Canis lupus familiaris: one gene and its partner. The protein of the gene in region 1 purifies or fractionates together with the protein of each later gene. This does not show direct contact. Links are inferred from orthologs where the notes say so. Each region holds a gene or a part of one and is shown in the gene's direction. Other genes may lie near its edges.

Region 1 (4,173 bases):
CCCCCTTCCCCGTGGGAATCTATCCCCCTCCCCCTTCCCCGTGGGAATCTATCGCCCTCCCCCTCCCCTTTCCCCGTGGGAGTCTATCCCCCTCCCCCCTTCCCCGTGGGAGTCTATCCCCTCCCCACCCCCTTCCCCGTGGGAGTCTATCCCCCTCCCCCCTTCCCCGTGGGAGTCTATCCCCTCCCCACCCCCTTCCCCGTGGGAGTCTATCCCCTCCCCACCCCCTTCCCCGTGGGAGTCTATCCCCCTCCCCCCTTCCCCGTGGGAGTCTATCCCCTCCCCACCCCCTTCCCCGTGGGAGTCTATCCCCTCCCCACCCCCTTCCCCGTGGGAGTCTATCCCCCCCCCCCCCCTTCCCCGTGGGAGTCTATCCCCTCCCCACCCCCTTCCCCGTGGGAGTCTATCCCCTCCCCACCCCCTTCCCCGTGGGAGTCTATCCCCCTCCCCCCCCTTCCCCGTGGGAGTCTATCCCCTCCCCACCCCCTTCCCCGTGGGAGTCTATCCCCTTCCCCGTGGGAGTCTATCCGTCAGATCCCGGACGGCGTCTCCTTCACCAAGCACAGCGCGTACGAGGCACCCAACTCGCAGGGCGGCTCTTCCAGAGCCTCAAGAGCTGCCGCAGGTGAAGCAGACAGAACCTCCGCCGGCGGAGGCAGAATGGGGGCGGGGGGCGATCCGGCGGCGGGGGTCCCCAAATGCAAATCTGCGCATCACAGAAGAACAGAGGCGACGCCGCGGCTTCCGCACTTCCCCGCCAGGGCTCACCGGGACGTCCGCGCGGCGCGGGGGCGGAGATTTGCATGTACGAAATTGGGAAGAGGGGGAACCACCCATTGAAAACCCCGGCCCGCCGCCCCCCCCCCCCCGCCTCGCGCCCGCTCTCCTCCCTCCCCGCGCCCCCCCGCGCCGCCGCCCCGGGAGAGCCGCCCCCCCCGCCGCCCGGCCCGCCCCCCCGCTCCCAGCGGCCGGCCCCCCGGCACGTCAGCGCACCCTCCCACCCGCTCCTGAACTTTAAGCCACGCGCCTCCGAACCACCTGGAGGAGGGGGATTTCTCCGCAGCCGGCGGCTTTCGCACGCTCGGGACCGTCACCGCCCGGCTCCCGGCGTCCCCCGCGCTCCCGAAGCTCCCGCCTCCCCCCGCGGCCCCGACCCAGTCGCGGAGCCCCCCGGGCCGCAGGGGGCGTGGCGGGGCGCGCGGAGGGGGCGGGGCGTGCGCGCGGCGGGCGGGCGGGGGGGCCGGGGGGGCCTACGTCAGTCGCGGGAAATTCCCCTCCCGCCGGGCGGCCTCAGCCTCCGGGCCGCGGCGGGCGCTCGGCTGTCGCGGCGCTCCGCCCCCTGCGCCTGGCTCCCGCACGCCGGACGGGCGCAGCCGGCGATCCCGGACGCGAGCGCTCAGGGGGTGGGAGGGTGTGAGCCGCAAAGCCCCGAGGAGGGCGGGAAGGAGGAGGAGGCCCCGGGGGTGGTCAGGGGCACCGGGGGGCCCGCCGGCAGAGTCCCTCGGCCGCCGGACCGACGCGGGCTGCTCGTGCGGCCTCGGGTCTGGACGCTTGGAGCGGGCGGCGCGGCGAGCGGAGCCATGGCCTCGGGTGAGTGTCCGCGGCGCGGGTCCGAGCTTTCGGGGCGGCGGGGGGCGCGGCGGTCTCGGGGCGCGCGGGCGCCCCTGCCCTTGGGTCGCCTCGGCCCGCGCGTCGTCGGCCTCGGGAGGGCGGCCCGGCTTGCGTGCGAGATGCGAGTCCCGGGCGGTGACCCGAGGCCGTTAGGATGCGTCCCGGCGCCCTGATGGTTTAGGGTCAGAGCAGTTACCGGGAACCTCACGCCGGGAGGACCGAGAGGTCACGTATTGCAAAATGGGTTTTTATTTGAATTGCTCAGGCTTTAGGTCTTAGAACAGGAGTGAAGACCTCAGGAGGGAGTGCTCTGCCTTTTCTTCTATTTCTTCTTTTCTTTTCTTTTTCCTTTTCTTTTCTTTTCTTTTTTCTTCTTCTTTCTTTTCTTTCTTTTCAATTTCATCAAGTGCCAGCCGGTGATCGCTGATGTGCTGACAGTGGCACCGAGTGGCACCGAGAGGCTCGGTTAGGAGCCCCCCCCGGGGGTGCCCTACCTGGTCCTAAAGGTTGTTTCAACCGAGTGGATGATTTCCACTTTAAAGCGGGTACTTTCTGGTTTACGGAGACGTTATCTTTTTTTTTTTTTTTTTTAATTTCTTCGTTGGAAGGCAGGGGAGTGTCCGGGCTTTCAAATAGGAGTTAGCAATGAAAACTTTGCATCACTCAGGTAACAATTTATTTTCCGTTTATAGATAGATGCGTAGATCTCTTGCTTTGGGGGCAGGGGGAGTGGACGACGAGTTTACCCAGAAAAAAAAAAGTTGGAGGGCAGAGGAGGGAGCCTCCTGTTATTGTTATTATTATTATTATTATATGATATGCAGCCGGGGTTTAGATCTGCCTGTAACCTAGAGGGAAGTAAATCCAGCGGGCTCTGCTCGAGGTGGCCTTGGAGAGGATTCTGGCAAGGTTCATGGGGCGGTTTCGAGGCAGGGAGGCCTTACAATAGAGCTCAGCGCTGGGCCAGGAGGCTGAAGGGGGGGGGCTTGTTTATGCTTCCTCCGCGCCCTCCCAAGACCCTGGCTTGGTGACCCTCGGAGGCTGGTGTCTGGAGAAGAGGAAGTAGAAAGCTTTTTTTTTTTTTTTTTTTTTTTTTAAAAGAAGATTGAGCAGAACAATGCCATTAGCTGCTGCTGCAGGCCGAAAAGGAAATTGGGGTGGTTCACATGACATTTGATTTCGGTTTGTCTGTGGTTTTTATGTGAGAATACAAGTTTAAAATATTTCAACTTTCTCTTTACCCACTTCAGTGACCCCAAACTTTCAGATAATTTTGTCAATTTATCATTTAAAAGCACGTTGAGATGAAGAGGGTGAAGAGGGCAAAGATGATCTGAGATATTTGGCTGATTTATTGGTTGACAGAGATTTTTTTTGTATGAGAGTCAGAGAGAACGGTGAGCATTATAAGTAAAAAAAAAAAGAAAAGAAAAGTCTGACTGCTGGCAAGTTAACCAAACTTCGTTAATATGTGGCACGAGTGTAATACCTGTGATTCTTTTAAAAGAACCATTTACATAGAGGGTAAGGTAAGACCCCCCCCACCCGCCCCCGCCCCCATCATTCAGCGATGTGATACAATTTAAATTTGTTGAATGGCACTGTATTTTGTGCTATTGTGAGGACTGATTTCCTAAATTGAAGGGGAAAGAATTTAAAGGAATGAAAAGTCGTAGGATCATTATCTTTTTTTTTTTCTTTCCTTTTCTGGAGTTGCATTAGAATGGGAGTATTTAATATGACAAGTTATTTAAATTGTAATTCAGTTGTATGAAAACTGCCAAAGAAATTTTAAAAAAGGAGTCTGGGTGTATTGTTTTTAATCACTTGTAAAGGCCTTAGAGAAAAAGACTCATCAGTAAATTATAAATTCTTTTCCTGTTTTGAAACAGTAGTTAAACCGAAAGAGTAATAGGAAAAAAACTTTGCTTAATTAGTTATCGTTGCCTAGCTTAGATTACTTGTAGTAAGGTAGTATTAAAACCTCAAAAAATATTTTTATTGATTACCAGGCACTTAAGACCATTTCTTCTTTTCTTACCGGATGTCATATGTAAATAGGTATGTGTAGCTGAATATGTTATCTGTAGAATGTAAAAGTTAACAGATCAGAGGCTCATTAGCAAAATTATTTAAGTATCATGAGTAACTGGAAATTTAATATATATGTGTGTATATATCATATGTATGTAAGTATGATTCTAAATTTTGTTTAGGTAAATTATCAAATTAATTATTTAGGGTTTCACAGACCGGGGTCTATTAAGCTCTCTTTACTGCCTTTTTTTTTTTTTTTTAACACTTTGATTTCTGTCTTTTGACACAATTAATTAGAACAGGTATTGTTAACAAAAATGTTCCCTGTCTCATGTAGGGAATGGGTAGGCAGTCATTACTCTATTATATTTATAATTCTGTATTGTTTAATGTAAGTAAAATTAGCTATTTTATGTCTGAATTAAAGCTCGTCCTTGTGCCAGTACAAAGTGCAAAGTGTTCTTAGGCACACATAGTTCTGTTTACTAATCAGTAGTACTGTCTTTGGTAAAATATGTTTTAAAA
Region 2 (3,965 bases), on another chromosome or scaffold:
AATGAGGACCATCCCACCTCAATCAGCTGTGGGACCGAGCCATTTCTGTCTTTACCACTGCCTCAGCCAAACAAAACGGTTCATCCATAGCCATGGCCAGGGATTGTGGACTTACACTGTGTAGGACATGTGCACCTCCTCTTCTAGGCCCCACAACCCCACCCAGGAGGGAGGGTACTGGCCCTGATCTTCCCTCTGCAGAGGAGGAAGCCTGAGCTGCCTTTGCTCATACACTTGTATGAGACTTGATTACAAGCCTGCAGGGTGTTTCCTGGGCCCAGCCCAACCTTGGCAGTGGACTGCACAAAGGGGAAAACCAGAGGGGGACAAGGTGGAAGACGGGAAGGCGCACACACCAGGGCAGGGTGACCTTTGAAAGGCCACGGCTGTGCTTGGTGTGACCGTGGGCGAAAGCAGATTCTGAAAAAGAAAACAGAGTGAAACACACTGGTGGTTGGTCTGGGCAGTTGTGGGAAGAAAAGAGATGGGAAGGTGAGGGTAGAGCAGGGCAGTTCCCTCCGCCTTCTGCTCTAAGAATACCTTGGAGCGGGGCTCGGGCTCGGGGCAGCGCCCTGCTCCGCGCCACTGCCCTGCAGCTGGGAGGGAGCACCCCCCGGGGCTCCGCTCTTGGAACCTTGCCCTGCTCAAGTTGCTCGGCGTGGCCAGCCTGGCCTGCAGGTCGCGGATGCGACCGGCGCACGGGTCCAGCACTGGAGGTCGCCCTTGACTCCCTTCTTTCCCTCCTATCAGCGGCTGCATAGAGGCGGCTTTTACCCTCGCTTCTCCTCTCCGCTGACTCCTTGAAAACTCCCCCGACGTTGGAGGAGGAGGGAACCGGGCCTCTGGGACAAGCCTGCCACTCAGAGGAGGACCACCGGGTCACAAAGCTGGGGCCTGCGGAGGGGCGGGGCCGGGCTGGCGGCAGGGGGCGGGGCCACGCGGTCGCCATGGGCGGGGCCGGGCGGCGGTGGGGGCGGGGCCGGGCTGGCGGAGGGTCTGGGACGGCCTTTCCGCGGGTCCCGGGCCACGCCGGTCGCTGTGTGCGGGGCGGGGCTCTCGGCGGTGGGCGGGGCGCGCCGGGAAAAGTTCCGGGAAGGTGCGGCGCCCGCCCAGCCCGGGCGCGGAAGTCGGCGGCACCCGCGGACGGCGGTCCAGGCCCACGGCCATGGCCTCAGGGGGCGCCGGGTCTGGGGGGCAGGAGGGGGCGGCGCGCGCGGCGGCGGCGGCGGCGGCGCTCTGCGGCCTGTACCACGAGGCCGGGCAGCGACTGCGGCGCCTGCAGGACCAGCTGGCCGCCCGGGATGCCCTCATAGAGCGCCTCCGCGCCCGCCTGGCCGCGCTCGAGGGGGACGCGGCGCCCTCGCTCGTGGACGCGCTGCTGGAGCAGGTGGCGCGCTTCCGGGAGCAGCTCCGGCAGCGGGAGGGCGGCGCCGGCGAGGCGGCGCTGCGCCAGGTGCGGCCGCGGCGGGCGAGCGCGCTTCCGGGGCGAGCGGCGGGGACTGACGGGGCGAGCCCCGGGGAGGCTCTGAGAGGTCTGCAGCGGTGCCCCGGGCTCGAGAGCGAGGGCGGCGGGCCGGCCCGGAGGGCTGTCGGGGCCGCCGCGCAGCTCCCCGGGCGCTCCCGCGTCAGCCTGTCGGTTCTGAGGACGCACGCGGACGCCTTCCCCTTAAAGCTGAGGCTGCCAGTCGTTTCCCAGCAAAACTAGGTTTATTCGGGAGGAGCAGAGAATTGCAGTAGGTGAGGCCGCCGAGCGAGGAGGGGCGGCTCCTTGGACAGAAGCCCGCCGTCCTGGGCGCTGCCGTCCCGCTGCCCCTGTCGGGTGTGCGACGGGGAGGAGCGGGAGGGGGACAGCTCCTCCTGCCCGTCGGGACTCCGCTCTAGCGTGCTTCTGACGGGTGTGAGGGTTGTGCGTCCTTGGTGGCGCTTCGGGGTCTAAGGTTTGGGGGCGGTGTTGCCAGCCCTCAGGTGAGGGTGCACCCCGGTGTTGCGTCTGTGCGTTTGTGCCCATTCTGGGTTCGAGGGATTTGTGTCCCATTGGACCTGAGGGTGGTTGTGTATGAGGGGTGTTTGTGCCGGTTGGCTCTGAGGGTTGTGTGTGTGTGTTATGTTCTGAGGGGTGTGCTCCAGGTTGTGTCAAGGACTGTGTGCCCATTTATATTTGAAGGTTGTGTCAGGCTTACCTGTTGTGTGACTCTGCGGGTTCTGAGGGGTGTATATGAAGCGCTGTTGGGCATTAGGGTTGTACGTCTTTTGGTTTTGAGGTGTGTAAGCCCCCGTCGGGTTTTGAGGAGTTAGTGTATGCTTGGTTTGGTCTGAGGGTTGTGTGTTCCTGTTGATTCTGAGGGTATGTGAGTGTGTTAGATTCTGAGGAGTGTATCCTGTGTTGGGTCAGAGGGGCGTGCTCATGTTAAGGGTTGTGAGTCCTTGTTGGTCTGAAGGTGTGTGTTCCCGTGTTGGGTCGAGGCGTATGATACTCACATTGGGATCTGAGGGCTAGGGGGTATGTGTCTGGATTTTGTGGGAGGGGTGTTTGTGTATGTTAGGCTCTGAGGTGTGAGCTCCTCTGTTGGGTCTGAGGGGTGCGTGTTTGTGTTGATTCTGAGGGGTGTGCTCCCATATTAGGTCTGAGGGTTGGGTTCCGTTTGGTTATTTATTTATTTATTTATTTTTTAAAGAACTTATTTATTCATGAGAGACACACAGAGACAGAGGCAGAGACACAGGCAGAGGGAGAAGCAGGCTCCATGCAGGGAGCCCAACATGGAACTCGATCCCGGAACCCTGGGATCATGCCCTCAGCGGAAGGCAGACGCTAACCCGTTGAGCCACCCAGGTGTCCCTCCATTTGGTTTTATTTATTTATTTATTTATTTTTTATTTATTTATGATAGTCACAGAGAGAGAAAGAGAGAGAGGCAGAGACATAGGCAGAGGGAGAAGCAGGCTCCATGCACCGGAAGCCCAATGTGGGATTCGATCCCGGGTCTCCAGGATCGCGCCCTGGGCCAAAGGCAGGCGCCAAACCGCTGCGCCACCCAGGGATCCCTCCATTTGGTTTTAAAGGGCTGTCTGTCCTTGCTGCTGCTGCTGCTGCTGCTGCTGCTGCTTCTTCTTCTTCTTCTTCTTTTTCTTCTTCTTTTTTTGTGCTTGTTGTTTCTGACATGTCTCTATGTTGCATATGAAGGATGTGTATTTGTGTTGATTCTGAGAAGTGTGCTCTCGTCCTGGGTTTTGAGGGGTGTGTGCATGTGTCAGGTTTTGAAGGATGTGCTTCCTGGCTGGCTGAGAGTGTCGTGTGTCTGTGTTGGTTCTGAGGAGTGTGTGTGCCTCTTGGGTTCTGTGGGGCATGTGTACCTGTGTCAGGTCTAAGGGTTATGTGCCCATGTTGGTTCTTCAGGTTTGTGTCTGAGTTGACTTGAGAGATAATGTGCCTGCCTAGGTTCTAAGGGGTTGTGTTTATGTTGGGTTCCGAAGGAGATGTGTACCTCAGTGGCTTCTCAGTGGTGTGTGTGTCCATTTTAGGTCTGAGGTGTTTGTGTCAGTTCTGAGGTCTGTGCATGCATGTTGGCTTCAGAGTGTTATACTCCCATGTTTGTTGTGAGGGGTGTGTACGCCCATGTTGGGTCAGAGAGTACCACGATGTCTGTTTTGGTTCTGAGTAGTGTGTCTGTGGTGGCATCAAGGAGTTTGCACCCATGTGGGTTTGTGAGGTGTGTTTGCCTGTGTTGGCTACTGAGGAGTTTGTGTGCCTGTCTGGGTCAGAGGCTTGTGTGTTTATGTTGGTTCTGAGGGATGTATATTCCTGCGCTGTGCCTGTGTTGGGTCCGGTGGTTGTATATCCATGTTTTTTCTAAGGGTTGTGTATGCCAGTATTGTGTTCTGAGGGTTGTGTGTCCATGTTGGTTTCTGAGAAGTGTTCTGTCTGTGTTGAGTCTGGGGTGTGTATGTTGAATGTTGGTTATGAA

What was found. Proteins that work in one complex are often made in the same cells at the same time.
Region 2: the proteins of REL (region 1) and TNIP2 purify together in Homo sapiens (affinity purification with mass spectrometry; 3 studies listed by BioGRID and IntAct, counting the BioPlex papers as one, with this or other methods). This does not show direct contact. The link is inferred for Canis lupus familiaris from reciprocal best matches to the Homo sapiens genes REL and TNIP2.

What each region holds. Positions count from the first base shown.
Region 1 is NC_049231.1:62,276,135-62,280,307, forward strand, and holds the start of REL (proto-oncogene c-Rel), read left to right. Parts: upstream 1-1,373; 5' UTR 1,374-1,580; coding exon 1,581-1,590; intron 1,591-1,706; exon of another isoform or gene 1,707-1,836; intron 1,837-4,173. UniProt on the Homo sapiens protein: Proto-oncogene that may play a role in differentiation and lymphopoiesis.
Region 2 is NC_049224.1:62,041,770-62,045,734, forward strand, and holds the start of TNIP2 (TNFAIP3-interacting protein 2), read left to right. Parts: upstream 1-1,165; coding exon 1,166-1,453; intron 1,454-1,584; exon of another isoform or gene 1,585-1,737; intron 1,738-3,965. UniProt on the Homo sapiens protein: Inhibits NF-kappa-B activation by blocking the interaction of RIPK1 with its downstream effector NEMO/IKBKG.